Linked DNA regions of Arabidopsis thaliana. The protein of the gene in region 1 interacts with the protein of each later gene in a pairwise test. Each region holds a gene or a part of one and is shown on either strand. Other genes may lie near its edges. The genes, in order: AGO1, AT3G02750, FSD1 and NTMC2T5.1.

What was found.
Region 2: the proteins of AGO1 (region 1) and AT3G02750 interact in a two-hybrid assay, tested with the Arabidopsis thaliana proteins (one study listed by BioGRID).
Region 3: the proteins of AGO1 (region 1) and FSD1 interact in a two-hybrid assay, tested with the Arabidopsis thaliana proteins (one study listed by BioGRID).
Region 4: the proteins of AGO1 (region 1) and NTMC2T5.1 interact in a two-hybrid assay, tested with the Arabidopsis thaliana proteins (one study listed by BioGRID).

What each region holds. Positions count from the first base shown.
Region 1 is NC_003070.9:17,885,957-17,895,549, reverse strand, and holds the start of AGO1 (Stabilizer of iron transporter SufD / Polynucleotidyl transferase), read left to right. Parts: upstream 1-2,953; 5' UTR 2,954-3,122; intron 3,123-3,649; 5' UTR 3,650-3,657; coding exon 3,658-4,293; intron 4,294-4,380; coding exon 4,381-4,589; intron 4,590-4,665; coding exon 4,666-4,815; intron 4,816-4,900; coding exon 4,901-5,040; intron 5,041-5,138; coding exon 5,139-5,248; intron 5,249-5,341; coding exon 5,342-5,448; intron 5,449-5,538; coding exon 5,539-5,677; intron 5,678-5,748; coding exon 5,749-5,865; intron 5,866-6,333; coding exon 6,334-6,441; intron 6,442-6,539; coding exon 6,540-6,611; intron 6,612-6,961; coding exon 6,962-7,084; intron 7,085-7,172; coding exon 7,173-7,335; intron 7,336-7,423; coding exon 7,424-7,683; intron 7,684-7,800; coding exon 7,801-7,943; intron 7,944-8,042; coding exon 8,043-8,105; intron 8,106-8,190; coding exon 8,191-8,254; intron 8,255-8,337; coding exon 8,338-8,473; intron 8,474-8,569; coding exon 8,570-8,643; intron 8,644-8,721; and 8 more.
Region 2 is NC_003074.8:591,514-598,134, forward strand, and holds AT3G02750 (Protein phosphatase 2C family protein), read right to left. Parts: upstream 4,243-6,621; 5' UTR 3,945-4,242; coding exon 3,690-3,944; intron 3,579-3,689; coding exon 3,159-3,578; intron 3,074-3,158; coding exon 2,627-3,073; intron 2,550-2,626; coding exon 2,088-2,549; 3' UTR 1,694-2,087; downstream 1-1,693. Other genes in the region: AT3G02740 (Eukaryotic aspartyl protease family protein), read left to right, coding at 85-309, 401-563, 656-729, 939-1,026, 1,096-1,171, 1,252-1,323, 1,425-1,576; AT3G02760 (Class II aaRS and biotin synthetases superfamily protein), read right to left, coding at 6,075-6,383, 6,469-6,609.
Region 3 is NC_003075.7:12,882,929-12,889,503, forward strand, and holds FSD1 (Fe superoxide dismutase 1), read right to left. Parts: upstream 3,975-6,575; 5' UTR 3,790-3,974; exon of another isoform or gene 3,589-3,789; 5' UTR 3,574-3,588; coding exon 3,514-3,573; intron 3,228-3,513; exon of another isoform or gene 3,173-3,227; intron 2,751-3,172; coding exon 2,562-2,750; intron 2,475-2,561; coding exon 2,303-2,474; intron 2,228-2,302; coding exon 2,160-2,227; intron 2,055-2,159; coding exon 2,028-2,054; intron 1,932-2,027; coding exon 1,908-1,931; intron 1,820-1,907; coding exon 1,721-1,819; 3' UTR 1,372-1,720; downstream 1-1,371. Other genes in the region: AT4G25090 (Riboflavin synthase-like superfamily protein), read right to left, coding at 33-189, 269-671; MC2 (metacaspase 2), read right to left, coding at 4,810-4,869, 5,349-5,609, 5,797-5,917, 6,135-6,465, 6,542-6,575. UniProt on the Arabidopsis thaliana protein: Destroys superoxide anion radicals which are normally produced within the cells and which are toxic to biological systems.
Region 4 is NC_003070.9:18,616,344-18,624,437, forward strand, and holds NTMC2T5.1 (N-terminal-transmembrane-C2 domain type 5.1), read right to left. Parts: upstream 5,615-8,094; 5' UTR 5,301-5,614; coding exon 4,513-5,300; intron 4,230-4,512; coding exon 3,988-4,229; intron 3,747-3,987; coding exon 3,728-3,746; intron 3,415-3,727; coding exon 3,209-3,414; intron 3,024-3,208; coding exon 2,914-3,023; intron 2,814-2,913; coding exon 2,715-2,813; intron 2,556-2,714; coding exon 2,081-2,555; intron 2,001-2,080; coding exon 1,912-2,000; 3' UTR 1,874-1,911; intron 1,471-1,873; 3' UTR 1,250-1,470; downstream 1-1,249. Other genes in the region: FTSH1 (FTSH protease 1), read right to left, coding at 1-587; AT1G50270 (Pentatricopeptide repeat (PPR) superfamily protein), read left to right, coding at 5,701-7,491; AT1G50280 (Phototropic-responsive NPH3 family protein), read right to left, coding at 7,514-7,846.

The DNA.
Region 1 (9,593 bases):
GTTTTGAAACTCGTATTTAAAAAAAAATGACCTATGAGAATCAAGATAGTACTTAGTACTAACACTGATTTACATCAATCATATCGTTTCTGCATCTTGATATCTTCTACTCCTAATATCAAGATATTATTATTTATATGGGCCCTAGAAATGAAATTTGTCTGAAAACAAAAGAAATATGTTTGTAGAAAACTTAACTATTTCTCTAAATAGTCCATAGGTTCATTATTGTTTTATTTGTAATTATTCATTTTCATTGATATCTATCGTCGTGTCAACATGATGTATCGTCCGTATACGAATACTCAATTACCAAAACAATGATAAGAATTCAAATGGGTTTTCTATCAAGTAGCTTTCTGTTGAGTATACCAATTTGAGGTAAAGACCAAAGTAACCAGTGAAAAACTAAAGAGCCGTCAAATCAATTTAGATGAAGAAAAAGTAACATTGAATACTACTATTAAAACAAACAAATCATTCCACGTGATGACTCCACCACATTCCCAAAGTTTAGAAAAATTATCAAACCCTGTCATAAAGTAACACTTGCCTAAAATCGCAGGTCTTTTTTTCTACGAAAACGAAAGAGAGTTTTGTAAAGTAAATTCATATGATCTGCCCCCACCAATTCATCATTTATCTCTTTTTTTTTACCGCTTGTTAAAACTCATAATCAATGCATCCCTTGACCTTAGAACAAAACCTGATGAGTCCCACACACATGTCACTTCGCTGTCCATGAAGTTTTTTGACCGGAGGTCAAAGTAATTTAATTGACTTGATGTTAAGAAATGATATGTGCAGAGAATCGAATGTTTCTTTGTGTGTGTGGTGAGTGTGTGATGGATATAATTATTGGAATTGAAATGTAATTTATGTAAACTTCTAGATTTCGAAGGCATAATAACTCTCTAAAATAATTGAGAATTGGATAATATCCGATGATTAAGATAGCATTTACTTACAAGTAATGTTTTCGATAGAATTAATGGTCACTATCCAAATTCCAAACCATACGCTAATGGCTTCCAAAGGAAAACTAAGACTTTATGGAGTTTTACATAAAGTCTTCGTTCAAACATCATTTTCATAAGTCTTTTGTAACTTTCTTCCTCTTAACGGCTTCCTACAATATCTCGATTTAGAACTCCAATCAACATCTAATATTTTGTCTACAACTTTATGTTTTTTCACCTTACTATATGATCTAGACAATCTTTTGTTAGGTAAAGTGTCTAGATATTCTTTCACCTAATTAACACGGAAACGTAAACTTGTACAAAAACATCTATTGATTATAGAAGAGAACCGAGCCGTGAGAGTCGTTTCTCGTCAAGACCGCACCAATCGACTCAAACATGAGCCAAACTGTACGTAGTTCTTATAAGGAACACAAACCTCCATCGTAAACCAACGTTTTCGATCGGTTCTAGCTAGACTCGCCATGCATGCATGTGCGTTGGTGCCCGTAATTACGTACACCAATCTTGATTGATATCAATGCTTATATGCCGTTAATCTTCATCTCGACTCTCGAGGTAGTAGTACTTGACGAGTTCTAAGTTCTTCTTCCGTTATGAGAAATCATATATAAGTTCTTCTATACATCTCGCTTGATTATTATAATCTTTCGCCTTTTAATTTCTCGTTTGATTATTATAATTAATGTTTATAATGAAAAGAATCATTATTTCCCAAAGCAAACGAATCATTTTGAGATAGACTTACAGTTATCACAAAAAGAAATCTAAACGTTTTCCCCAAGATTTAGCCTTTCGTCAGCATGTAATTACTCGTGACATATTCTCTAGCTCATATTTCTTCTTCACGCACGAGCAACCAATTTTGTTATATATGTATAAATCATCTTTGACAATTATATATAATACAGATTTGTTACGAGTATATGAATTTTTTTGAGGTACAGAAGCAAATCAACTAGTGAAACTAAATTAAAGAGCTAACCATCAAATAAAGTAAATTGAATTAAACAAACAAATCATACCACGTGATGACAGCCACCACATTCCTAAAGTTAGAAAATTGGCAAACCTGTAAAAAAGCATCACTTCCCCGAAATCGCAGGTCATATTTCTATGAAAACGAAAGAGAGTTATCTATATAGTAAATGGCTATATTCATATTTGCCCCACCACCCATGACCCATCTCAGTTAATAAATAGTTCTTCTATTCACCTCTATACTATAATCATTCACTTTATCTTATATATAGTCTATAAAACTAAACGTAATTCGCATGATTTTGCCTTTCGTTGCATGAAAAATCCTCCTTGACAATGTACAATTCGTTAGTACTACTCGATCAGTCGCCTTGACTCACGACATTTTCTCTAGCCACTGTTTTATCTTCACACACAAGTACCAATTTTAAACTGTTGTACTTAACTGTATAACATCCTTTATACGTAACGTAAGCCAAAAATTATGATCTAATCAGTTACTACAGATTAATAATAAGATTAATAACGGCCGGTCTACTAATTTTGAACACTTGTGCATGCATTATCTCTCGTTGAAATAGTAAATTAATGCAACTAACTTTACAAGATTAATCGAGGTATATTATAGTCTAAAACAAATATTTAAATTAATGCAACTAACTCTTGAAGATTAATCGAGGTAACGCATCACACTAATCATATTTAATCGGATAATACATATACTGTTAGTAAAATAAATTAAAAAAGATTTGGTAGATAAACGACAAAAATGTTTTTCGTCTTGTTGTTTTCGAGAAGCTTCTTTTTCCGGATTAAAAAAACATTATGCAATTCCACGTCATCAGCGCATTACAAACAATGAAAGACTACACACGACCTTGGGTCAGCATTCCAAAGACCCAACCCTGACTCGCCACGTCGACATATGCCAGCTATTAATGAAGAGGGTAATTCCGTAACTTACTCTAACCACAGAACCCTTGAATTTAAAGTGTAGCAGTAAAATCTCATTTCTTTGAGTTATCTCGTTTGTTCGGAGTTAGAGAGAGAGAGAAAGATATAGAGAGAACACAGAGAGGCGAGAGCGACGTAGGGTTGGTGTTTCGTACGGATTTTCTCGGTCAATCTTAGTTTCTCCGGCGAGAGATTGCTTTTCAGGTAAAAATGGCGGCGGTTTTGGTGTTTGTTCTTCACTTAATCTGTGTTCGATCTGCGTATGAACTCGATTTTTCCACTCGATTGGGTGGATCCGCTTCGTTTTGGTGTTATGGTTCACTGATAGTGTTGTATGTTTAGTTGATCTTTGCGATTTCGGATCTATTAGCTTCGTAGCTGTTTTGGTGTGTGTGTTCGTCTTCGAAGATATTTAGGTTTTTTTTTTTTGTTGCTTCAAATTTCTTACTGTTTCGTGCTTGTTTTCTTACTTCGTTTTCTGTTTAGGTCTTTGATTGTTTCTTACTAGGTTTTCTATGTTTGCTTTGGGCTGTTGAATTTGGTTTTCTATCTCTCTAGCTAATCACTGGTTTTCGTGCTTCTGAGTCGTTTGTTTTTGAAGCTAGTTAGGGTTTTCTTCTGTTGCTTCTATATTTCGATAGTTTTGTGCTTGTTTTCAATGTTTGCTTCTTATTTTCAAGGATAATTTTAAAATGACCCACTGTTTTTGGGTGGTTGTGTTATTTTCACAGGAATCATCATGGTGAGAAAGAGAAGAACGGATGCTCCATCTGAAGGAGGTGAAGGCTCTGGGTCTCGTGAAGCTGGTCCAGTCTCAGGTGGTGGACGTGGTTCACAGCGAGGTGGTTTCCAGCAGGGAGGAGGACAACACCAAGGTGGAAGGGGTTATACTCCTCAACCTCAACAGGGAGGTCGTGGTGGTCGTGGATATGGGCAACCACCACAACAGCAACAACAGTATGGAGGACCACAAGAGTACCAAGGAAGAGGAAGAGGAGGACCTCCTCATCAAGGAGGTCGAGGAGGGTATGGCGGTGGCCGTGGAGGTGGACCTTCTTCTGGACCACCGCAGAGACAATCAGTTCCCGAGCTGCATCAAGCTACCTCACCTACTTATCAAGCGGTGTCTTCTCAGCCTACACTGTCTGAGGTGAGTCCTACCCAGGTACCAGAACCTACTGTTCTGGCTCAGCAATTTGAACAACTCTCTGTTGAACAAGGAGCTCCCAGTCAGGCAATCCAGCCTATACCTTCTTCTAGCAAGGCTTTCAAGTTTCCAATGAGGCCTGGTAAAGGACAGAGTGGAAAGCGTTGCATTGTGAAGGCTAACCATTTCTTTGCTGAACTGCCTGATAAGGATTTGCACCATTATGATGTGAGTTTTGTGTTCCCTTAGTATTAGCTACCATACATCTAATGTCTATTTATAAATTTACCTGACCAACTGTGTTCTTTCTGTTAGGTTACCATTACTCCGGAAGTTACATCAAGGGGTGTCAATCGTGCTGTGATGAAACAACTTGTTGATAATTATCGTGATTCTCACCTTGGAAGTCGTCTTCCAGCGTATGATGGTCGAAAAAGTCTTTACACTGCTGGTCCACTTCCCTTTAACTCCAAGGAGTTCAGAATCAATCTTCTTGACGAAGAAGTAGGGGCTGGAGGTCAAAGGTCTAGTTCTTATGGTTTCTTGTTGATTTTTTTAATAAGGAAGTTTCAGAATAATAACATCTTTCCTATTTTACAGACGAGAAAGGGAATTTAAAGTTGTGATCAAGCTAGTTGCACGTGCTGATCTGCATCACCTAGGAATGTTTTTGGAGGGGAAACAATCAGATGCCCCACAGGAAGCTCTGCAGGTTCTTGACATTGTTCTTCGTGAGCTGCCGACCTCTAGGTACTGGTTACTCATCCTATGGATGTTTGCTTCTTTACTACCATGCTTGTAAGTCTCAGCTGGTTTAGTTTTGCTAACATGTTAGAATCAGGTATATTCCGGTGGGCCGGTCCTTTTATTCCCCTGATATAGGAAAAAAACAATCATTGGGGGATGGCTTGGAGAGCTGGCGTGGATTCTACCAAAGCATTCGTCCTACACAGATGGGCTTATCACTCAATATTGGTGTGATGGCTTGCTGTATTACATTCAATAATTTTTGATATCTGGTTCTCCTTGAATGTTTAACTCATGGTTGTGCTGCAATTTTGTCTGTTTTGTAGATATGTCATCGACAGCCTTCATAGAGGCAAACCCTGTGATTCAGTTTGTCTGTGATTTGCTTAACCGGGATATTTCTTCTCGACCTTTATCTGATGCTGATCGTGTTAAGGTATGAATCAATTGTCATTTTCTGTAGTAAGTGAAATGTTGTATTAATCTACTCTTCTTTGCTTAGTGACTTGGAATCTTCTTCTGTCAACAGATAAAAAAGGCTCTTAGAGGTGTCAAAGTTGAAGTGACTCATCGAGGAAACATGCGCCGGAAGTACCGCATTTCCGGTTTGACTGCTGTGGCCACTCGGGAATTGACGTGCGTATTTGTTTTAGATTTACTACTCTTATTTCGCGAATGTTGAACTTGATGAAATTAATTTTTACTCTCTGTTTTTATCCTTTTCAGATTCCCAGTAGATGAAAGAAATACTCAGAAATCTGTTGTAGAATACTTCCACGAAACATATGGTTTTCGCATTCAGCACACTCAACTACCATGCTTGCAAGTTGGGAATTCTAATAGGCCTAATTACTTACCAATGGAGGTAACTTTGAAATACGTCATCAGGTTTTATTAGCTCACCAGTACTTCCGATTCTAATGTGTTGCTGCACAGGTATGCAAGATTGTTGAAGGCCAGCGGTATTCCAAAAGATTGAATGAGAGACAGATCACTGCTTTGCTGAAGGTTACCTGTCAGCGCCCGATAGATCGAGAAAAAGATATCTTACAGGTATGTTTCTTTATTTTCGATAACTTTGTTTTCCTTCACTTGAATCAAGAGTATCTTTTTGTCCGCCTATCTTGATAGTCGTTTTAAATAATGTATGCTGGTGATAAAGCCTCATTGTGGAATAGATCATTGTAAAATCTGTTTATTCTTACTTGGTTGCATGTGTTTACTTGAAGTAAGTGATTTTCTCAATTCATATCTAACTTGTTTTTAATCATATAAACTTGTGGCTGAAAGGATGTTATGGAATGAATGGCTTAAAAACCTGTTTCTTCTTTACTTGGATGCATATGTTTGCTTGAAGAGAGTGATTTACCTTGAGATGATGCCTTTACTTCATAAATAGTGAGGCAGATTACCATCTTCAGAGTTGTGCTCTTAATTTAGCAGCGCGTGTGTCTTCTGGCTGCTGTTGTTGAAAACTCAATTGTTTATTGCTAACATTATACAATATTTTCTGATTTCTAGACGGTGCAACTCAATGATTATGCTAAAGATAATTATGCTCAAGAGTTTGGCATCAAAATAAGTACTTCTCTGGCTTCTGTTGAGGCTCGTATACTGCCTCCTCCATGGGTATAGTAATCGTTCCCATTGTCTCTTTGCTATTACACTTTTTCTCTGTATCTTAATGACTCAAATTAGGGTTCCAATCTGATTTTAATGTTCTGCAGCTTAAGTACCACGAGTCTGGAAGGGAAGGGACTTGTCTGCCACAAGTTGGTCAATGGAACATGATGAATAAGGTAACTAGACGAAAATGTTCCTGGTTTTCAACTATGCACTTACATGTTTCTTGCTTGTGTTACCTATATATACCTATGCTGTCATTTTTATGTGAATATTTTGTAAATCATGGCTGAGCTGTATATTTCCAGGTAATTGGCAAGAAAATTGTTTATTTATTTGTCTGTTATGAGACATATTACTCTAAAATGCTATTCTCTTGATATGAGTATGGGTGTGGCACTTGACTAGTTGCAGAGAGTATTTTGTTCATGTAGCTATGTAGATACACACTGAATTTGTCTTTGTTATTTTTTGAAAGTGATCACAACGTTTTCTGTTGTCTGGCTAATATGAGTCTTCTCTGCAGAAAATGATCAATGGTGGAACGGTGAATAATTGGATCTGCATCAACTTTTCTAGGCAAGTGCAGGACAATCTAGCGCGTACATTTTGTCAGGAACTTGCTCAAATGTGTTACGTATCTGGCATGGTGAGTCTTTGGAAGCACAAACTTGATCAGTTTATTAACCTTTCCTACACTGATTCCTTCCCTTTAATTTTTTATTTCTTACCTGCAGGCATTTAATCCGGAACCAGTCCTCCCACCAGTCAGTGCTCGCCCTGAGCAAGTAGAGAAGGTCTTGAAGACTAGATATCATGATGCCACATCAAAACTCTCCCAAGGAAAAGAAATTGATCTGCTTATTGTCATTCTGCCCGATAATAATGGATCATTATACGGTATGAGCCATGGTCTCGGATGTTTCATTGTCTACTTCTGCTTAGGAACACACTCTCAACTTATTTTCCTTAATAATATCCATTGCAGGTGATTTGAAACGCATATGTGAGACTGAACTCGGCATAGTCTCTCAATGTTGCCTGACAAAGCATGTCTTTAAGATGAGCAAACAATACATGGCTAATGTTGCGCTGAAGATTAATGTGAAGGTTGGAGGAAGAAACACAGTGCTTGTTGATGCTCTATCTAGGCGGATTCCTCTAGTCAGTGATCGACCCACCATTATATTTGGTGCTGATGTTACCCACCCTCACCCTGGAGAGGATTCAAGCCCATCTATTGCTGCTGTAAGTTAGCTTCTCCTTTAAGATCTACTTCTGTATATGGATGCTTTTGTTTATTTTCATGGCCTTAACCTTTTCAAATTGTGCTTGTTTTGTTGACAACGAAATTTTTGTTTTCAGGTTGTGGCATCTCAGGATTGGCCTGAAATCACTAAATATGCTGGATTAGTTTGCGCTCAAGCGCATAGGCAGGAGCTCATTCAGGATCTGTTCAAAGAGTGGAAGGATCCTCAGAAAGGTGTGGTGACTGGTGGCATGATAAAGTACGTGTGGATGTTATTTAATATTTTCGTGATTGGGTTTTAGCTTTAGCTTGCTCTTAAGTAACAGATCTGTACGTTTCTCCCCTTACTTTTGAACAGGGAGTTGCTCATAGCCTTCCGTAGATCAACTGGGCATAAACCACTAAGGATCATCTTCTACAGGTATTAACTCTTCTTATGGCACTTACTTGACTAAATAACTTTCTGTCTTTCTTTCTGAAATGTATTATATGGTTATTCTGCACAGGGATGGAGTCAGTGAGGGACAATTTTACCAAGTTTTGCTCTATGAACTTGATGCCATCCGCAAGGTAACAGTTACTTCTAACAAATGGCTTGTGTTGCGTGCTCGTTTTCTTCTGTTTAATCTGATTATTATTTCAACTCATTTCAGGCCTGTGCTTCGCTGGAAGCAGGTTATCAACCACCAGTGACATTTGTGGTGGTGCAGAAGCGTCATCACACGAGGCTGTTTGCTCAGAACCACAATGATCGCCATTCGGTGGACAGAAGTGGGAATATTTTACCTGGTGAGACAAGTTTGGATCTTTGTCAAGCTTTTTGTGCGTAGACCTAATCAGCTGAAAATCCCTTGCATTGGTTTTTAACCCCTTTGTTAATTGTAGGCACTGTTGTGGACTCTAAAATCTGCCACCCTACAGAGTTTGACTTTTACCTCTGTAGTCATGCTGGTATTCAGGTATAATTTACAATCTCAAATGAGTTTGTGGGTGAGAATTTATTTGAAGTGTTTAACAAATCAAAACTCCATTAACAGGGCACTTCTCGACCTGCTCATTACCACGTTCTTTGGGATGAGAACAACTTTACTGCAGATGGACTTCAATCTCTGACCAATAACTTATGTTACACGTAAGATTTCTTACCTTTGTAACATATTCCTTGTTACAAGTGTTTGCAAGATTGCAAGGAAAATAAGAGTAACATTTAAACTACCTTTTTGATTTGTACAGGTATGCAAGATGCACACGCTCAGTTTCAATTGGTAAGTTTTGTGTTTCCCATCCCTTAATGTCATCTTGATTTTGATATAAAGAAGAGAGAGATTTAGTATTCAATGTTTTTTTTTTTTGTTTTGGGATATTGTAGTTCCCCCTGCATATTATGCACATCTAGCAGCTTTTAGGGCTCGATTCTACATGGAGCCAGAGACATCAGACAGTGGCTCAATGGCTAGTGGGAGCATGGCACGTGGAGGTGGAATGGCTGGTAGAAGCACACGCGGGCCTAATGTCAATGCTGCAGTGAGGCCACTCCCAGCTCTGAAAGAGAATGTGAAGCGTGTCATGTTCTACTGCTGAGTTGATTCACCCTCTATCTATCTTTATGACCTAAATTAATGAAGAATATCATGTATGCTTTCTAAGACTTATCGTGTGTTTGGATATTTCATCACTCTTTCTCTATGAGTATGAGATGCTTTATGACTCTTGTTTGACAACTACTAAAATTTATTATTCAAAACAGACTTTGATCCTTTCTTTAACTCGTCTTAAATCTTTATTCAAGAGATTTTGTGTTTAGAGATGTTTAGGTTGTTTGTATTGTCGACCACACTACTACATTGTAGGTATAAGCGTTGAGATCCAGGACTAAAATCCTGACTACAATTCTTTATATGTAGTCAGG
Region 2 (6,621 bases), on another chromosome or scaffold:
AAACAGCTTTATTCTTCTATGAATTTTGTAGCTTGTTGTGGCTTGCAAATCTCTGAATCACTGTTATTTGTGGTTCTTATACAGATGTGGGTCTAAACAGTCTGGTCAGCTCGGAGAGTCACAAGCTGCGGTTGATGGGATAATGGGATTTGGACAATCAAATTCATCGTTTATATCGCAGCTAGCTTCACAAGGAAAGGTCAAAAGGTCTTTTGCGCATTGTTTGGATAACAACAATGGAGGTGGTATATTCGCCATTGGAGAAGTCGTGTCGCCGAAAGTAAAGACTACACCTATGCTCTCTAAATCGTAAGTGAATGCCTTTCTCTTAAAGCTCTTCTTCTTTGGTTCTTTGTCAAGAAGTTTTGAATTTCTTACACTGTTTGCAACTCTTTCACAGAGCTCACTATAGTGTCAACCTCAATGCAATTGAAGTTGGTAATTCAGTTTTAGAACTTTCTTCGAATGCTTTTGATTCGGGAGATGACAAAGGAGTTATTATTGATAGTGGTACAACTCTGGTGTATCTTCCTGATGCTGTTTATAACCCGTTACTGAATGAGGTCAGTACTATATTCTGTTACTTGTGAATTCTTTCTGTCTTATTTTACAAAGTTCTTAACACTTATGTTTTTTTCCCTTGAGTTTCCATCAGATATTGGCTTCACATCCAGAGCTTACTTTGCATACAGTTCAAGAGTCGTTTACTTGTTTCCATTATACAGACAAGTAAGAATTTAACTCATCGCTTTGTCATTCTTGGTGTTTAGTGAGAATGTTTGAAATGGTACTGTTATTTGCTGGAAATGTACTAGTTTTTGCTTTTGGAATTGAAATGGAGTTGGATTTAGCTGAATCTGATGGAATGACTGATTTTATACACCTAGTATATAATGTTTGATGTTTTGACCCTCTGAAATTTTCTGTCAAATTCACAGATTAGATCGGTTCCCAACTGTCACTTTTCAGTTTGACAAGTCTGTTTCATTGGCGGTTTATCCTCGGGAATATCTATTCCAAGTTCGAGTAAGTCTTGTTCCTGTTTCTAACTTCGTGTTCTTGTTTTCTTGTTCTGACATAAAAAACTGACTATAGGAAGACACATGGTGTTTTGGCTGGCAAAATGGTGGATTGCAGACTAAAGGAGGAGCTTCATTAACAATTCTTGGAGGTACATATATCTCTTTTAAAAATGACTTTCATCCTGAAATTGCTGAAAAAATTTGAGTGTTGATTTGTTTCGCTGCGCAGACATGGCCCTCTCTAACAAGTTAGTTGTCTACGATATCGAAAACCAAGTCATTGGATGGACCAATCACAACTGTAAGCATTACAAATCCTATCTTTGTCTTTATTGCCACAAATTCTATGAGATTTGATGTATTAGGTGTGTTTTGACTGTAATGAAATACTGAATCACACAGGCTCAGGAGGAATACAAGTCAAGGATGAAGAAAGTGGAGCAATCTATACTGTTGGTGCTCACAACCTCTCATGGTCGTCTTCTTTAGCTATTACAAAACTTCTTACACTTGTTTCTCTCTTAATTCCTTTCTTCTGTAACGTTGCTTTATAGTTTCAGATAAAAACCCTCTTGGGACAAAGTTTATTCCTTCTGTTGTTTATCATTAAAGGAACTGATTCCCATTTCTTGAAAAACAATTGCCACTTTCATGATCGAGAGAAAGGGATTGACACAAATTCTGTAACTGGAATTGGAGCTTTTTGAAAAGACAGAAACAGGAAATTGTCCCAACAGACTGACAAAATTAAGCCTGAGGGGATTCACAGAATTACAGACACAAGCCATTATTACATGATGTGATGTTTTTTCACTCTTCTTTACTGACAAGACCAAAAAACAACATAAACATTAACAAGAGAGAAAGACATAAACCAAAGACAAAACTGACAAAAATTTAGGTTCCAAAACCAATGAATTATGACTCAAAAAAGAATAGAGATCAATGAAGAAAGTTGAAAAGGAAAAACAAAAGAACAAAAAGACACAGTACCTTGTCTTGGGTGATTTATTTGATATCATTAATCACCTCTCAACTTCTTCACTTCAACTCTTCTTTCTCTATTCACTTTCCAGGCACAAATCTTGGTAAGTTTAAAAGTGTATTAACTCTTGCAACACCTTCAAGTGCAGAATACTCTGTTCCAGGTTCTGAATCCAAGTTATCCGCTTCTTTTATCAGCTTCTCAGTTTCACTTTCGTCGAGAGCAATCTCTTTCCCCGACCTGACAGTACTCGAACGGCCTAGACCGCTTGGTCCTGATGCATCATCATCCTCAGTCGTGGCTTTTAGTTCTTCTTCTTCTCCATCTTCAAGTTTGGAGATGGAAGAAGCTGTAGATATGGCGTTTGTGTTGCTGGAGTCTAGATACAAGCAAACAGCGGCACAGTCATCGACTTTGGAAGTCGGGTATTTGTATCTCCAAGCTCTGACCGCAGACTCGACTAAAGCTCTTGCTGCAGAGGAGCGCGATGGAGCTGAAGCTACAATCGCCACTACATCTTCATTTGAGAGAACATCCCAAATCTATCACAATAGAAAGAAATGTGAGCAGCAAAAATTGCAAATAGAAAAGATATGTGTCTGAGAGAGAGAGTATTTACCCCATCTGTAGCCAACACTATAAACTCATCTTTTTCGGTTAACTGACGGAAAGATACATCAGGCACAGAGATTAGGCCAAAATCTTTAAGGCAAAAGTCACCAAAAGCACGTGCCATAGCAAGTCCAGGTGAGTCACAATTTGGCAGCCAAACTCTACAAACTTCAGGTTCATCTCTAAGAGCAAACACTCGTCCTCGACACTTTCTTATTCTCTCTGCCTCAGCTGCAAGTTCAATTGAGGGAATAAAAAAAAACCCAATAAACATGATTAATGGATCCATCATACATCCACAGGACAACATCATACATTCACATAAGATAATCCAACCTGGGAGATTTGGCTTAAGATCCACAGTTAGTTGAACAGCGACAAGAGTATTTTCACTGTCTCTTGTACCCATTACAGCTCTGGAATCCCCAACATTTCCAACAACGAGATACTGACCCTGCAATATTGCAGAGGATACATAATAAAGATCATGAAACAATGAATAAGACTTAAACTTTGAACATACCAAACCGAGACAATACCTGCTTGATCAAGGTTACAGCTGTTGTCCCACTGCAGAAACAGTCAACACTTCCATGGAATTTAAGCTCTCTATCCATAACTTTAAAAGCCTTAAGAAACGACTCTTTCAGCGTTTGAAACAATTCCGGTTGGGTTTCTGTGTTCTCCTCCTCCATGTCAGCAGATGTCCTAGGTTCTTCTTCAGCAGTGACAAAAGCAGCAGCAGCAGCAGCATCTTCAGGGTTGTTAATGTTGGTTACATTATTGACAGTGTCGGTGGTGATTGCCTTAAGAACACCTTCAACTGGTACTTTTGCTTCCCAATAAGCACTTAATTTGAGAGGAAGATTGTCTCTGACTCTCTTTGCAACCATATGACCATATGGACCATGTCCATCAAACACTCCACAGAAGATTGTATCTGTCCTCGAACCAAAATTCTGAGCACGAAAACAGGAAACAATCAGTGAAGAAGAAACAATAGGACCTCAGATCCCAAATTAGAAACAATAAAAAAAAAAAAAGGGGGAAGACTTGAGGATCTAACAAACCTCCCAAACAACCATGGCATCTTGATTAGGCCCTTTCTTGCCTTGTTGAGTGTAGATACAAGCAACCTCAGTTGATCCATTCAAGAACATCCGGCCCGGAACCTGATTCAACGGTTCTTCTCTCCGGTAATCAAAGGAAGAGTTCCTAGAACCAGGTCGCTTCTTAGAGTTCTTCCTCTTCCTCACACTAAAAGCAGGAGAGCAAGGAGAGCCCGGTCTAGGGCTCCTGCTCTCTGCAGATAAACAGGACCCCATTTTAAGGGCCCTGATTATATTGAGCAGGCACTCCAGACCAACAATGGTACAATCACCCCGACGGTCCTCCAGCGAGAAAGATTGAACCTTTAGATCACAATTCTCACCGGAAAGAGCAATGATGATTCAAACTATGCAAAAGAGATCTCTGTAAGAAGACAAAACCCGTCTTTAGATCCCAATGATCACCACAAAGAGTAATAGGATGATATGATGATTTAGTTTGTAAGAAACAAACCTCAAAATTTAGTTCCAGCTACTTTGTGCAAGAACCCTTTTGAGCAAAATCTAATTCGTCAACAACCAGTATACATACATACACAAGCAGTGATTTTTAAACCCAAATCGTCAAAATTGAATGAAGAAAAAAAAAACGGAATAAAAAAAAGATGAAGCCTTTCAAAGCTGACCAAGAAAAAAGGTAAAAGATGAGACTTCTGGGTCTGACCCTTTTCGAGTCTTGTTTAAAAAAACGTTTTTTTCTTCTTACAAATATTTTATTTGTACAGAAATTTAAACCCAAAAGTTTTATGAGAAAAAAGGAACAGATCTACGTAGATTTCCACCAAAAAGAAAAAGAAAGACAAGTGTAAGTTTTAATTTATACTGGAAAGAGACTCAAAACACGAGAATCATGAGAACCCCTTTCTTTCTCTACAATATCTCCTTCGTCTGCAACCAATCAAAAGAAGAATCATTGAGAAAAAAAAAACTAAACTTGTTAATATCGAATTGCCAAATTCGAATTCGAGCTGAAAGGAGACTCACCAGGAAACAGAGAGATCAAACAGAAGGTAAGAGGATCTCAGAATCAGATTCAATTGTGGGGAAGAAGAAGAGCTTGAGATTGCTCTGTTCGTGCGTCGATTAGATTATAAACAAAAAAGAAAAAAAGGAATTGAAAGATGAAAACAAAAAAGAAAGAAGAATATAAACGAGAAAGAAACGCAACCACCAACTACAAACCCGTTCTCTCTTCTTCTTCGTCTTTCTACTTTTGTGTGTCTCTATAGAGAGAGAGAATGGAGAAGAGAGAGATAGAAACAGTAATGGAGATGGGTCACTCTCTCTAATAATAAAAAAACTATATTAATAATACATCCAAAAATTATGTTATCAGATTTTTTTCTTTCTGATGAATCATTATTTTATTATTTTTTACGTATTAATGTATGAAAATATTTATATTTTTTTTGTTTCAGGCTGGCAGAATTAACATGGGCTTGGATAAGACGTTTCTTACACATAATTTTCCGACATCCACTAGAATATCATCAATATATAATATGAAGAATTATTAAAATTGTGAAAATTCAATAAAACAGATCATTTATTTTTAGATCAAAATCATATTTAGGGTCTCACAATCAGTCAATCATCCCATGAGGGTGAGACTCTTTATCAGATTTAATTATTGTATCGCTTAGTAAACTATTGTATATAAAAGAATAACCACCGTGAATTCTTCTTATTTAAGGAACCAAAGAACTCATTGTTTTTTTATATAAATGATCAGTAGGGGATGGTAAATCGCCTGTTTGTTTCTTACCAAATATTTTCAGTAGTTGAATCGAAAATGAGTAGAGACAATAGTCAATGGAAACGTGAGATGTGAATACACAAGTGACCTTAGTTACTTGAAGCCACCACATGTCGGCAGAGAGGTACAGAAACCAACACGTACCATCTTTCTTCCTCTCATCTCATGCAAATGCGATCACACAGATCTGCAGATCACTTTTTTTATTTTTGGAGACAACCTTACCTGTTGTGTTTTATTTTCTCTTTTCGGTCTTATATTCTTCCACCTCATTTCCTACTTATTTTTTCTTTCTTTTTTCTGATAAGATCGCAGATTAGGTTATCAGGGATAAGGATTTTTTTGAAAGAAACGTAATTCTGATAATTGGCTTAACATTTACGTATATCTCCTCTAATTAGTTAAATACGGAAAACTTCATCAACATCAAAATCTCTAAGTTCTTGTCTCCACAATCATGAGTCATGCAAAACACCATTATCAAACAAACCAAGGAAAACAGCAAAAAAGAATGCAAAACACTGTGATTCCTTTTGTCTGGGCATCGAACCAGGAGTGAGTGTGTGTACCTTTCATTTCTTTTCAACGACTCAGAGTAGTTTCTTCAATTCTTCCACGAAACGATCTCTAGTACATGTTTGATCTTCTTTCTCTTCACTTCCCTTCTCGAGCTTCTTCAATGTCACAAAACTTCCACTGAGTTCTTTTTCGCCTACCATCACCATCCAAGGAATCCCTGATTCCTTTGCACGATTGAAATGCTTTTCTTTCCTCTTGCTCACTAGATACTCTGCGTTGATCTTAGCACCCCATAACTGACTTACCAGTTCTGCTGCTTCCGCTAGTTTATTATCCACCATTATACTAACCAACACCTGTGTCTCCGTTGGTCGAATCACCTATATTCATAGCAAATAACACAAACTTCAAAAACCATTCTTTTAAAACAAGGTCGACAAACAGCATAAGGGTTTGGCAAGTTACTTGTTTCTGTTTCTCGTTAAGTTCTTCCATTATGTTAAACACTCTCTCGATTCCCAGGCTCATCCCAACCGCAGGGACTTGCTTTGTTCCAAACATTCCTATAAGGTTATCATATCGCCCACCAGCACCAATTGATCCCACCTGCAGAAAGAA
Region 3 (6,575 bases), on another chromosome or scaffold:
GACCAAAATGTGTGATGATTAGAAAAAATTACAAGTCAAAGAACGTGATAAGCCTTGAATCAAAGCTTTTATCATTTATTTGTTCCCAAAATTTCTTCAACTCGGTCTCAGTAATCACATCCCCTTTCAAGTGACTTTTTCTAGCTAAGGCGTCAAACAATTCCAAGGCAAATTCTTTTGAGTTCATCCCTACAATATGTCATCAATATTCCAAGTTAGATCCAAACCATTTATTTAGTTAACAATTCCTCAAATTTACAATGTTTACCTATGCATTCACCGAATTTCGACCGAAGCAGCAATCCATCAGTATTGGCCGTGATCTTCAAGTACCGCTTCTCCACGACGGTCCAGGCAGCGTTACCGTCGGTCTTACTGATGATCTTGAGCCCTTTCAAGGCCTGACCGGCCGTTGACTTCGACCGGTCCAATCGAGGTGCCTTACTCTCTCCAGATACCATTGTCAAGCACTTCTTGAACCACTTCACCAAACCGTTCTGTTTCTGCATATCAAGTTTCGGATTGTTCTTCACGCTCGATCCATCATCCACCGCGTTTCCAACGTTTTCCATCGCCGGATTTCGGTAGGTCGACGGCAAAGATCCGCTCAGTATCTCGCTGCTGCTCTTCTCCGCCTCTGTGTCCTTTACTTCAAAGCTCACTCTCTGCATTGGTTCGTCCCCTTTTTAACGGACAATCTCAAAGGGAAACAAAACGGGGGAGCCAGGAAAATGATGATTAAACGAAATAATTTGTTTCTTGCATCTCAAGTCAATGCTCTGGCGGATTTAGAAACTCTTTGGCATGTAATACGAGACGACCTGAAATTTTCGCTTAGTTATTCTTTTTAAATAAACGGCTACGTCCATCAGACCATCACAATCAACAACCACTATATTAGATAACGCACAAAATATATTCCAACATGTATACAGAGAGATAAATAAGCTAAACATATTCAAAGAAAATAAGACATGGGCCGACTGGCCCACAATTTTTTTTTGCCTTTTTTGGTCAACTCTCTTCATTGGTAGATTAATTAAAGACCCGAATACAAAACCTCATCAGACAATTAACACCTAAGTATTAAAAATGTAATATTTCAAAATTCTTCCAACATGGTTGTCCATCTTCTAATTCCTTTGTTAATCATTCATCTATCAAAAGCTCTAAGTCAATTACCTAACCAACGTCAAAATATCAAAATAGTAAACACCAACGTCCTTACCCTGTTACAGTTAACATCTTTGTTTTTTAGTTCAAGTCTAAAGTCTTCCACCTTAACATTGTAAACTGATTTGTTTATCCAAAAATCAAAATGATCTATTATATCAATATTTCTCATTTTTTTAGCACAGCAATGCGAGATTTGTTAACAGCTATGGTGATGAATTGTGATTTTTTAATGGGACAGGGGCATCCACGTTATTACAACTATAAATGTCCAATTGAATAATGGGCCATGCCAAACTATGAATTACTGATGGTAGGTGCCAATTTGAGTTTAATAAAGGAGACGATGAAAAACTTGACACACACAAAACGCACACACACTCAGAAAAGAGCATGTTTAATTGTTCATTACACAAGCAAAATGAAGAACTCTGTGACACATACACAACAAGAGAGCTGTGTCCTTATTACAGCGACCAATATTTTATAAGAGACTTCGGTGATGCAGAACTCACTGTCACTGAAGTCAAATTGTTCAGAAATTTGCTTAAGCAGAAGCAGCCTTGGCGGCCTCAAGTCTGGCACTTACAGCTTCCCAAGACACAAGATTGGTCATGAATGTCTTTATGTAATCTGGTCTTCGGTTCTGCTCATATACAAATAGATTGAAACAATCAACAACACAAAGAAACTCAAGAAAACCTTGTTGCTAACAATTATGAATAAGCTGTTACCTGGAAGTCAAGGTAGTAAGCATGCTGTTCATGTAGCAAAAGAAAACAAAAATTATCAATAAAATTTGTAAGAAAGAAAATAGGTTTTAAGACAAACAAGCTATAAAAGTGTTTATTTACCTCCCAGACATCAATGGTAAGCAATGGCTGCAAGAAAATTAACCAAGATTAAAAGTTAAGGATTTGCATTAACTCTACGGTGATATTTAATCAAGTAAATTGTGTATTCAAGTTCCTTAATGAAAAACTTACGAAAGAGCCGAGCACAAGGGGATTCACAGCATTGGGAGTTTTCACTACTTTGAGTTTTTCATTTGAATCTGAAAGCATTGAGATAAGAGTAAGGAAGAAGTTAATATATTTATCTAAAGCTCTTAAACATTTGAAACACTTACAAGCAAGCCAGGCCCAGCCAGCTCCAAACTGAGTGGCTGCAGCAGCATTGAACTCTTCATAGAACTTCTCATAAGAAGTGAAATCTCTTTCAAGCAAAGCAAGAAGCTCTCCTGATGGTTTTCCTCCACCACCTGGTTTCATTGACTCCCAGAAGAACTCGTGGTTCCACGCCTATAAACATAACCAATGGATCATCAGCTAACCAATCACACACCCATTTTATAATCTCAAACTAAAAATAGGTTTGTTAATTATCACCTGAGCAGCGTTGTTGAAAGCAGGGAGGAGATCACCATTGTTGTAAGTGCTGTGGATAATGTGCTCTAAGGGCTTGCCTTCAAGCTCGGTTCCAAGAACCTGTTTCTTGAGGTTGTCCACGTAAGCTCTGTGATGTTTTCCCCAGTGAAACTCCAGAGTTTGTTTGCTCATATGCGGCTCCAAAGCATCCTTTCCAATTTTATATCAAAAAAACATTTCATCATATTGGCTATTGCTCTCACTCATGACTCAACCAATAGGTCCACTAGAAGGAACGAAAATATCAGACCAAGGAACATCTGAATTTGAACTAGGAGTGGTCATATACTAGTTAAAGATTTATGAATCTAACATTGACATTACACAACGTAACAATTTTCTTACAAAGTAATATGATTTGGACAGTTTAGTGTAGTTTGAGTAACGGGTCAGATTGAGATAGTTTTTGTATACAAAAACAACAAATTTTCACTAGTTCAATTGAGGGTCAATTAAGAATCAATGTTCTATGAAAGCTATGGTTTCAAAATCATTTCAGATATGTTGACCCATACCTAACCCCTATGGCCATACCCAAATTTCCCATTTGACAAATGTCGGATAGTACGTACCAACTAGAACATTCACGGCCTTTACCCAATATGGACCACCCAACTTGACCCGTTCCTACAATTAATTTCCGGGAAAAACACTAATGCGTAGATTGATTCGATTTTTATTTTCTTCAAATATGAATTAGAGGAGTTCATTTGTAACGCCTTTTTGGTATTGGTTTTCCGTTAATAATAGCTGAAAATCATTTGTAACGCCTTTGACGAGGATGAAAAGATATTTTTAGGGCTTTGTGGGAGCAACAAGTTATATCATCTAGTAATAGAAAAGCAAAATCTATAGTCCAACGAAAACAAAATGACATTTGCCGACAATATCAATCTTTATCATAAGAAAGTACCAGTGCGAATGGAGGTGGCTTGAGGACGTAGTTTGCGGTGACAGCACTTGAAGCAGCCATTCTTTGTAATTGAAGCTGCACATTTCAGACAAAACATAGCATTGAATTGATTATCTATTTGCCCAAAAAAATGAATCAATATCCTTACAAAGACACATGAAAATGTATACATGCGTTTATGTTGTTGGGAGACCAAACAAATTTCTAGGTGAAAGAGTAAGAGACCAGAGAAACTCGAACATGAACTAAGATGTGGATGAGAGATAGAATCAGTACCTCAAGTTTCAAGGACGAGTGAAGTGAGGAGAGCACACGCCAGTGGAATCTGTGTGTTTTGAGTTTTATGGTTGGATGGCTCTGCTTTTTGGTAATCGAGTTGTGTCGTACATGTGGCAGTACGACGTATCATTTTGTACTATCATTATCTTTTTGTAGTACATTTTTTTTTTCTGGCTTCGTGGCTACTATTGACTCATTGTGATTTGTGTCATCATAAATTGTCTTGAAACTTAATAACATTTGAGTCATCATAAGTGGATCAGCCAATCCGGTATTAAAAAAAAAAAAAATCATCTTATTTTTCAATACTATAAAGCATTTATAAATTATAATTTATTATCTTGTGTTTTCTTTTCACTTATTATCTCAAACCTTCCTTGCTAGACCAAATTCATGTTAGACGTATGACGTATCTTATCCAATTTCTACAATGTACCTAAAACTGTGATAGAGATATATGAACATAGTGGAAAAAAATCATGATGCTTTTAATGAAAATCTAGAGATTGAGAAAAAAGATTTAAAATTTAATAGGAATCATATTGAAATATTTCTCTGTTTTCATTAAGCCGAATCACCACCTTCACTCGTGTGATAGAGGCTGATATTGGTGAATGTTGATGACAATCGAGGGACGACGAGCTTACATGCACACAACTTAAGCAAAGTCCGTTTAAAGTCGTAGGAACAAAAATATTTCGGTTTTAAGACGGAAAATCGTAAAACACCTTGTATCTTATACAGTTTTTGTTTCTTGTTTGTTTGGTTGCATTAAAATTAAGATGGGTAAACCATATGCCAATAACAATATTAACTTCATTGATGGTATTTTTCAAAGATGATGTCTGTTTACCATTTGATATATTTCTCAAAACTATTATTTTCAGTTAATGAAAAGGCCGATATAAACATATTATGATCTTGCCCCATATATATAGCTTCACTCCAAGCTCAATAAAGTTTTTTTTGTTGGTCTCCGAAATTTCATACTCATTCTTTTGTCTTCTTAAGGTGATATTATAAAGAGAAGGGCTTCTCATATACAGCAAATGCCTCGTTAGCGCTCAACTGTGGTTCCTGCCGAAGCAAATCCAATATACCAACATATCTTGTCAACAATGCAAATCAATTCACATAATCTTGCTACAAAAATCATTCACTACTATATCAATTATATATACATCAAGTTATATTTAGAATTTATACCGATTTAATTTTCCATTAGACAAGACTAATTTCGTGACTTTAATTAGTATTTCCTTACATATTTTCTAATCGATCCCTATTATGAATTTTCTTTTTATAGGTGAGAACTACATCATTTTGGATCTCTAATATCTAATGTAAAAATGTGAAATTTCAAACTAATGTTTTTGATGTATTGAAGATGTATGACCAATCATTAAAAAACTAAAATATGTTGGTCCATGAAGATCCTTCTAAGTTGGAGATAGCCATAACAATATTGCAATATTATATGAGTGAGCTCTAATGATCATAATTGTTCATGATAATTAAGTTTAGATAAAAATAATTAGTATAGATGAATGGATCACCTGAGTTTTTTGAGGGGCTTGGTTTACTTCCTCTTCCTCATCAGGAGGAGAAGCGCCTAAGATGAGCAAACCAAGAAGAGTAGAGAGAAAATCAGCACCTCCCACTTCCACAAGCTCTCTACCTTTGTTTTTGTCGAAGATCTCATGAACCGTTGATCTCATTGCATTCAGCAAGCTCCCATAAGTCATCCCGTGGCCACGTTCTATGGCCTGAATGAATGCATAAGTCATTGCCCCCGTCCATGCGCTCCCTGACAATTGCTGTAGTGCACACACGTTTCTTTGTGAGGAGTACTTTTAGAATGAAGGTATGGGGTAATTACTATAAGACTATAACATCTCGGTGAAACTATAAAATGTGGATGGTTTGACTGGACTTGCTAAATACTATCAAAAGTTGTTTGAAATCTAGAGAGATTATTTATATGGCCAATAGTTGGGAATGTACCGGAGTGTCAGCCGAGGTCTGGTCATCATCGCAGCCTGTGAAGGAGAAGACTTCACCGCCACTCGTACCTTTCCACATTCCTGTTTTAGGCCGATGGTCTTCCCATTCATAGTTTCCGAGCCTAAAACGAAGGATCAAGAAAAGAAAAAAAAATGGGTTACATGTGCTATGCATAAGCAGTTTCTTATTTGTGTTAGTTCATAGGGTATAGGGTTTATAACCAATATAAGAACTATATGGTCTCCATTTGTTTTTTGTTTTTTTAAACATTTCTACAAGCTATCGAGGTCTGCATACACACGTACATAACAAGAAGTCAATAATTATTGAATTCGTACCTGTCCATTCTACAAAGATAAGGTAAGTCCATGACGGTACCACTATGACAAGCGTCGACGATGGCATGGAGCTTAACTCCATAAGGGAGCGGCCGTACGATTGTAGCATTGATCTCATCGTCCACGATGACACCTGAAGTCCTGTGGTCCACCGGGAGAAGAGTCTCATCGAAGCCGTCAACCTCGTCGCCGTTGTCGTCCATCTGGTTGTTGCCGTGACCGGAGAAGTGAAAGACGAGGGAATCTCCCGGTTTGCAGCTAAGAACAAGCCAATGCATCGCCATTGTTATGTTGTTCTTCGTTGGCCATCTCATTGGGTCCGCTTCTTCTTCTACAACATTTTGACACTTTTAACATTACTTTTACGTGTTACACAAATTATGACATTTTATGATATAGAATAATACCGGTGAGCATAAGAATGCAAGATTCAGGGAATTG
Region 4 (8,094 bases), 730 kb from region 1:
CCTTCAGAGACGGATATATCAACTCCGTTCATAGCCAAGATATCAATAAGGTCAGGGTCGTTAGGGACGATGACTGAAGCACGGCGATTGTCGACGGCAGTAAGCTGAACAACAGAACCATCTTTGCTGAATCTAACTCTCTCGACTTTCCCTTTCTTCACAGCGTTAAGAAACTCGCTGTATCGCCACTGTGATCCTTCTGGGAGATCCGATGATTTAGGACTAGGAGCCTTAAGTATCTCGTTCTGAATGAACAATGGCGATGGCGTCGATGGCTTCACAGCTTGAGATTCTATAACGACAGACGGAGAAGCTGGTTCGTCCACTACAGCTAAAGCTAGCGGCGAAGATGAAATTGAAGATAGTAGAATAGCTGCTAAGGCTACTTGCGACGAGAATGGCGAATTGGGTTTACCATTTGGCGAATTTTCGTCTTGAGACGATCGAGTGATTTGGTATTTAGCACGGGAGACGAAGGAGAAAGGGAAAGAGGGTTTTCTGGTGGTTTTAGGGGTGGGAGATGAGATTATGATATGGGATCCTAAGAAGAAATTTGAAGAAGAACGTAGTAATGAGTTAGAAGCCATTGAAGCAGCTCTGTTTCTTCTTCTTCGTCAAGACTTGTCAAAATTCGAATTGAATTCTGAGAGAGAAGAAGCTACAAACGAGAAACGTGGAACAAAGGATCTTCTGGTTTTTAAGGAAGAGGAGATTAAGCAGAAGCCATGACTTCTCGAGTCCTTTCTACGTTTGCTACCTCATATCCACTCGTTAACTGATCGCAAAATGCCACAAAAATTAATTAATTTAATGTGCAAATTCGAAAAAACTTTGTAGTGGTCGGACAGTTCGGTTTAATTTTAAAAATTTAATTCAGTTCGGTTTGGATTATGTTCCGGTTCGGACAACTTCCCCACCAACTAGAACAGTCTTGTAAGCCTCAACAGAACATGGACGTGAGAGCTTCATTCAATACCATAACCATTATTGAGTCTGCCATCAGTGAGATCATGGAATTCAGCGGCGACACAACTAATCTGTCCCATGTTAACAAGAGGCTCCACCTTTTCGATCAGTCTATCTTTGTCAAACTTTATTTGAGAATCATGAAATACCACAATCTTACCATAAGGGAATGGAAATGAAGGATGGTTCCACGAACCAAGTTCTGCTCCTACTACCAATCCTATTGAAACAATCGATGATTATATTTTATTTCCGAAAAGTCAGAATTTTCTCTTTTTTTTTTGGTCAAAATATACAAAAGTTTCTATCTTTTTTTATGTACTGTATATCAACCACAAGTGTAAAGAGTAACACAACAGTGAGAGCTTGGACAGAATAGATCCAAACCTTCCTGCCTTTAGTAAGAGTCCCTCTTCTAATGGCTATTTACATACAAAATTAAATTACAAAACTGAGACCTCGTTATAAGCCATATCTAAGGTTGAGAAGAGATGACCACCAGACCTGCCACAAAATAAAGAGGCCTTGATAAGCTTATCACACACGGTAGGCAAAAGGTTGACATGAAAATATCTGGACTGAACTATGTCACACAAGGTAGAAGAATCAACTGACTCATTTTCAATTCACACATAATTTTATCAAATACAAAGCCTGATGTCCAGTTTTGACTTTCGGTACACTACAAGCAGCAGAAAGAGTAACAGAATCTACAATTTTAATGTTTCAAGTAGCATAATTATTCTAGGAAAAAAGAAGTTCAAGTTTGGTTCTTGACTATATGAACAAACCAGTGTTGTTCCACGTTCTAATATAAGGAAAACAACTGACAAAAAGAGAATCTGTCTGTCCAATCACATCAGGGGAAGAAATTTCAAGTTCTCGAGGTATATATTAAGAGACTTACTTGCAACAGAAATCTCCAGCGAGATGTATAGTACTATACTACGGGTTGAAGAAACTTGAGCCTTCCATGTTGATAGCAACAAGAACCAATATACCCGTGATAATACCGAACCACAGTAATGCTAATCCTGAAATTAGGAGGTTTTACAGTTTCAGGTCAAGAAAGCATAGAAAGGAAATCATCGTAAGAGATTGAGCCTCGGTATACCTCCATCACCGCCAGCTCCTCTACCAGAATTTGCAACTAACAAATCCAAATTTGATACATCTGCGTTTCTTTCAGACCCCTTACTAGTATCTGGCTTAGAAGGTACTGGTGCCCCAAGTGAGTCACCACCATCAATTATACCGTCTCTAGCTTCAGATGAAACTATGCCTTGAAACTCCTCACTCACAATCAATGCAGACAACACGTTCATAAATGACTCTTGATCAATATCATCTGACGAAAGCTTTCCCTTCCGCACAAATGAGCCAAGTTCTTCTGAATCAGACATTTCATCGTCAGAAGTATCAATGGCTTTGACATTGGTCTTGTCATCTTCTTCCTCCTCCACATATGATTTGTATGTAAGCCGTAGCAGTATCTCACCCGCAGATCCCTTTCCAAACAAACTCCAACCACCACGCAAAACCACAATTCTGTCTGTAGGAACCGTATCTTGCAGAAATCTGAGATCAACCTGGACATATAACTAAATAATAAGGCTATGCAGACAGTAACATAAATATTAAGCAACATTCCTCAAGCAATCATTAAAGAGATCCACAGAATACGTACTCAACGCCTATTATTCTACAGATTACAAAAAAAAATATGTACCCAAGGAAATATTATTTACCTCTCCAGTACCAATAGCCATATCAGCAAACCCAAGACGATCATTGACCTCAATTTGTAATACTTGCTCTCTAGGATTTGAAACAAGGAATTGAAAGTCCTGCAAAGTTAAAGAATACACACTTATCTATTTACATTTCAATCCTTAAATAATCATAATTCACCACCAGATTGTGAATGAACCATCCAAAGCAGTTCACCTGATTCCAAATTGGCTGACCAGGAGCCCCAATGACAGTAGTTTGACTGTTCCTTTTACTACGGATAACTTGATCCCCTAATCTGAGAATTGCATATGGATCCGTTTTACCTGTTACCAATTACCGAGGAAAACAAAACATCTCACCAATAGACTCAATTAGTATAGCTACTTTATTCCCAAGAAAGTCGACTGAACTTGCACAAAGAGGCTGATACTTCAGCAATAGATTGTCTGTCTATTCCACTTTTCCAACTATGAAGGAAACACTGACATGTAAAGGAACTATAGCTTACCAAAAAACATGTATCGAAGTTTCTGGGCGTCAACAAGAGTAACAGATAGTTCCCCGACAAAATCCTTATTGCCTTCCTGCATTTCTCCTGATTTCAGGTCTTCTAAAACAGGTCCAACAGCTTTTCCTTTCTGAAAGTCCAAGACAATTTTCTTCGGTCGGACAAATAATCGAGGCAAATCCACAGTCAGCAGTTTGGTCAAGAACCTGTAAGAGACGATGCTGGGTAAAATAATAGGAGGGAAGAAGGAACCCACTATTGCAAAACGTCGAGGAGCTTAAAGACTCCACAGTAAACAAAATGAAATACTGGTATCTAACCAGAACAATGCACCAAAGCATCTTACACTATATGCTCGCTAAATTAGTAAAAGTTCATTGCAGTTAGATAAAATACAGAACATCATCTAAGCAAGCAAAGTGGCCCTTTCTATCCACTAAGTCCATGTAGTATTGAACAATGATATGGACAGTTTTTCAATATAAAAAATCGTGAAGTAACAGCCACAACAGAACTTACATTGATAGAACGGGAATTCCTGAATTCATAATCCATGCCATTCATGACAAAAGAAAAATAAAATGTGTGAGTTGCGGCGAACGCGAAAGCTAAAACTCTCTTCACTAAAACAATCGCCGATGACTTAACCTTTCCCCATTATATCGTCACCAGTTTCAAATTTCACTAAAAAAGGCTTGTCTGTTTAATTTTTTGGATAGGAAGGAAGCAACACAAACAATATCACGGGAATGGATCAGAAGACCAAGATAAACGCATACCCATTAGATTAAACAATCTGAATGCTGCAAGTTGAAATGTGACCTTTGGAAGTGATACAAACGAACATGATACAGCTCCCACCCAAGGTTGTGTCGGTATTAATCTTAGTTTGACCCAAAGCTCACCATCAATGTCAAAATCTCGGACACCAACTGGAACAACTATTGGGATAACACCGAATTTCAAAGAGAGCATTAACAACATGCGTGCACCGCCAGTATACCGAAGGCCAATTTGGTACCTATAACAGGAAAGAATGACATGATAAGAAACCTCGAACTGAGCCACAGATAAACAGTTTGAAGTAGCCAATGCCCCAAATTATGTACATAAATCATGCTCAAAGAAAGGTCACTCTTCAAATGAAGATTATTTCGTGAACTCTAACTGAAATGAAAGCCAAATAAATCTCATCAAGAGATTCAATGGTTGCAAAACAATATACAATTGAAACCAAGTAAGAGCAATCCCAGCAATTAATCAACGCAGAAAACTTTGTTAGTACCAAACAAGTATACACGTACTGCAAGTCATTGGCACGGCGAGATGTCTTCCTCTCAACATTTCTGACAGACAACGGCTCATCCCCTAAAGAAAACTGCTTAATCTCAACTCTCTGCACATAATCAGGCTTTTTCAAGTCATCAATCACAGGCTGTAACAAACCAACGAGCCAATTCTCAATACCCGCTCTATACACTTTCCAGAGCTTCCCTAACACCATGTTGACCCACTCCACGGACTCTTTCCTTTGCAAATCCTTCTCTAGGAACAAAGAGAAGCTGGTGGGAACCTGTGGCCATGGCCCTACTCCTCGTTGGTTTCCATCTCCACCTGTTTCTCTTTGCCTCTTTCTCCAAGTCCATAGCTTATCAAAAGCAACACCAACGAAAAAGAAGAAGACGAATAGACTAATTACACTACGATTAATGGTCGGTGACGGAAGTGGATGGATTACACCTAACTGGGTCCTAAGCTTATCCACTATCGGATCTTCCCTAAAGTTACTGAAATTGGCTTGGTCATTGGACTCTTTCGAACTACCCTCGTCTTCAAATTCATTCGTAAACCTAGCAATTACAAACCTATTTGCAGCCTTTCTACTAGAATCCGTCAATCTTAGGTTTTTCGAATTCCCACGAAATCCACAGGAAATAAACCTAAAGTTCGAAATTTTGACGCTCGGACGCAGAACCCGACTCCTTGTAAAAAAAACCGCGCGGAGCTCATTAGAGCATGGACAGAGCAGAGTGCAAGACACATCAACAGGTAATCGGAAATCAAAATTCGAAGAAGAAGTTTGTGGAATCATCTATGAATCGTATCCGAAGAAGAAGGAGAAAAATAACGCATATCTTTAGGGCAATAACAGTTTCTCCAATGGCTCGTAGCAAAATCTGTAGAAGCTAACAAAGTTAGAAAAATTGCAGAAGAAGAAGTTCATTTTCTTCTCTTCTTACTTCTGTTTTTTTCTCTGGACTGTTTGACACGTGGATCGAACCCTCGTCTCCCCCTCTACGGCTATTAAAAAAAATATATAAAAACTAAACCGACTGATATTCAGAGTCACTTCGATTCAATTGAATGGGAATTTTGGTTTAATGTCGGTTCGGTTCGGTTCCTTTGAAATCTGAAATCTGAAAACTGGAAAATTCGAATTGAAGTATTAACCACCCCCTCTCTCTCTCTCTTTTGCTTACTTCTCAATTCACATGATTGAGCTCAAAACATTGCTTGATCTTCCATTACACTTTCTTCATCTCAAGCAGATCCATTGCTTACTCCTAACTTCTCCGATATTCTATACTCGTCGCGATCTCTTTCTCTCACGTCTTCTCCGTCGCTGCTGCACCGCCGCAACTCAATTCCGCTACGCTCGTCGTTTATTATGTCAACTCCAAACTCTGAGCATTCAACTATGGGATTCGCTCATTGGTCACTTCTCCGGCGGGATTACTCTCAACCGTCGGTTATCATTTCTTGCTTATCGTCATATGCGGCGAAACGGCGTCATCCCTAGCCGCCACACGTTTCCTCCGCTTCTCAAAGCGGTTTTCAAACTGAGAGACTCGAACCCGTTTCAGTTTCATGCTCATATCGTTAAATTCGGGTTGGATTCGGATCCTTTTGTCAGGAATTCGTTGATTTCGGGTTATTCTAGTTCTGGGTTATTCGATTTTGCAAGTCGTCTTTTTGATGGAGCTGAAGATAAGGACGTGGTTACTTGGACTGCAATGATTGATGGGTTTGTGAGAAATGGTTCTGCTTCGGAAGCAATGGTGTATTTCGTGGAGATGAAGAAGACTGGAGTCGCGGCTAACGAAATGACCGTTGTTAGCGTCTTGAAAGCTGCAGGGAAGGTTGAAGATGTTCGATTTGGGAGAAGCGTTCATGGGCTTTACTTAGAAACAGGGAGAGTGAAATGCGATGTGTTCATAGGAAGTTCTCTAGTAGATATGTATGGGAAATGTAGTTGTTATGATGATGCCCAGAAAGTGTTCGATGAAATGCCTAGCAGAAACGTGGTTACTTGGACGGCGTTGATTGCTGGATATGTGCAAAGCCGTTGCTTCGATAAAGGGATGTTGGTTTTCGAGGAGATGTTAAAGAGTGATGTTGCGCCTAATGAGAAGACTCTAAGCAGTGTTCTTTCGGCGTGCGCTCATGTCGGGGCACTTCACCGAGGAAGAAGGGTGCATTGTTATATGATTAAGAATTCGATTGAGATAAACACTACAGCTGGAACTACATTGATTGATCTTTATGTCAAGTGCGGGTGTTTAGAGGAAGCTATACTTGTTTTTGAGAGACTTCATGAGAAAAATGTGTATACTTGGACCGCGATGATTAATGGATTTGCAGCACACGGATATGCTAGAGATGCATTTGATCTCTTTTATACCATGTTGAGTAGTCATGTTTCACCAAATGAAGTTACTTTCATGGCTGTCTTAAGTGCCTGCGCTCATGGAGGTCTTGTGGAAGAGGGTCGAAGGCTTTTCCTGAGCATGAAGGGACGTTTCAATATGGAGCCAAAAGCGGATCACTATGCGTGTATGGTTGATTTATTTGGAAGAAAAGGTTTGCTAGAAGAGGCGAAAGCTTTGATAGAAAGAATGCCAATGGAGCCAACAAATGTGGTATGGGGAGCTCTGTTCGGCTCTTGTTTGTTACACAAAGACTATGAGTTAGGTAAATACGCAGCCTCCCGTGTGATCAAGCTGCAACCTAGTCATAGTGGGAGATACACTCTCTTGGCTAATTTGTACTCGGAATCCCAAAACTGGGATGAAGTCGCTCGGGTAAGAAAGCAAATGAAAGATCAACAGGTGGTGAAATCGCCAGGATTTAGTTGGATCGAAGTGAAAGGCAAGCTTTGTGAATTCATAGCTTTCGATGATAAGAAACCCCTTGAATCTGATGATTTGTACAAGACTCTCGACACTGTTGGGGTGCAAATGAGATTGCCAGATGAATTGGAAGATGTGACTGCTGAATCATGACTTGGGACGTTTACCATTTTCCTCATAAGCCTTCTCTGAAACTATCCATAACCTTCAAATTATATCCTCCTTTAGTCTTCAACCTCTCGGCTAATTTCTCTGTTATCTCGAGATGCAATACTACAGGCTTCTTCTTCTCTTCTGAATATCTACAAGAAAAACTCTTGTTTGCAACTTTAACATCTGAAGTTGTGTGTTCTTGATTCCCACATCTGGACTTGAGTGCTTCAATGGCGATTTCTGGAGGGATCTTAGGGTTTCTGGCGAGCTGTTTGCACGTCTCCATTGTTAGTTTCTTGTAGTTGAGACATCGACATATCTCTGTTCGATCTTGGGGTGTTAGATTCGGATGAGACTGTACAATAACAAAACAACAGAAATTATAAAGGAATCAATCATACACTGACATAATAATCATTATTTCTACAATTTTTGAAAATGATGAACTATTGTTAATTCCAGTAAAACATGTGAATAGAAAAGTACATGAATAATTGTTAGTCTTTGACATGTATTTCAAGTGTAACTGATAGTACCTTACCAGAATTATTCCTTTTTAAGATATTTTTACTAATAGTATTACAGAGAAAAACAAGAAGAAAC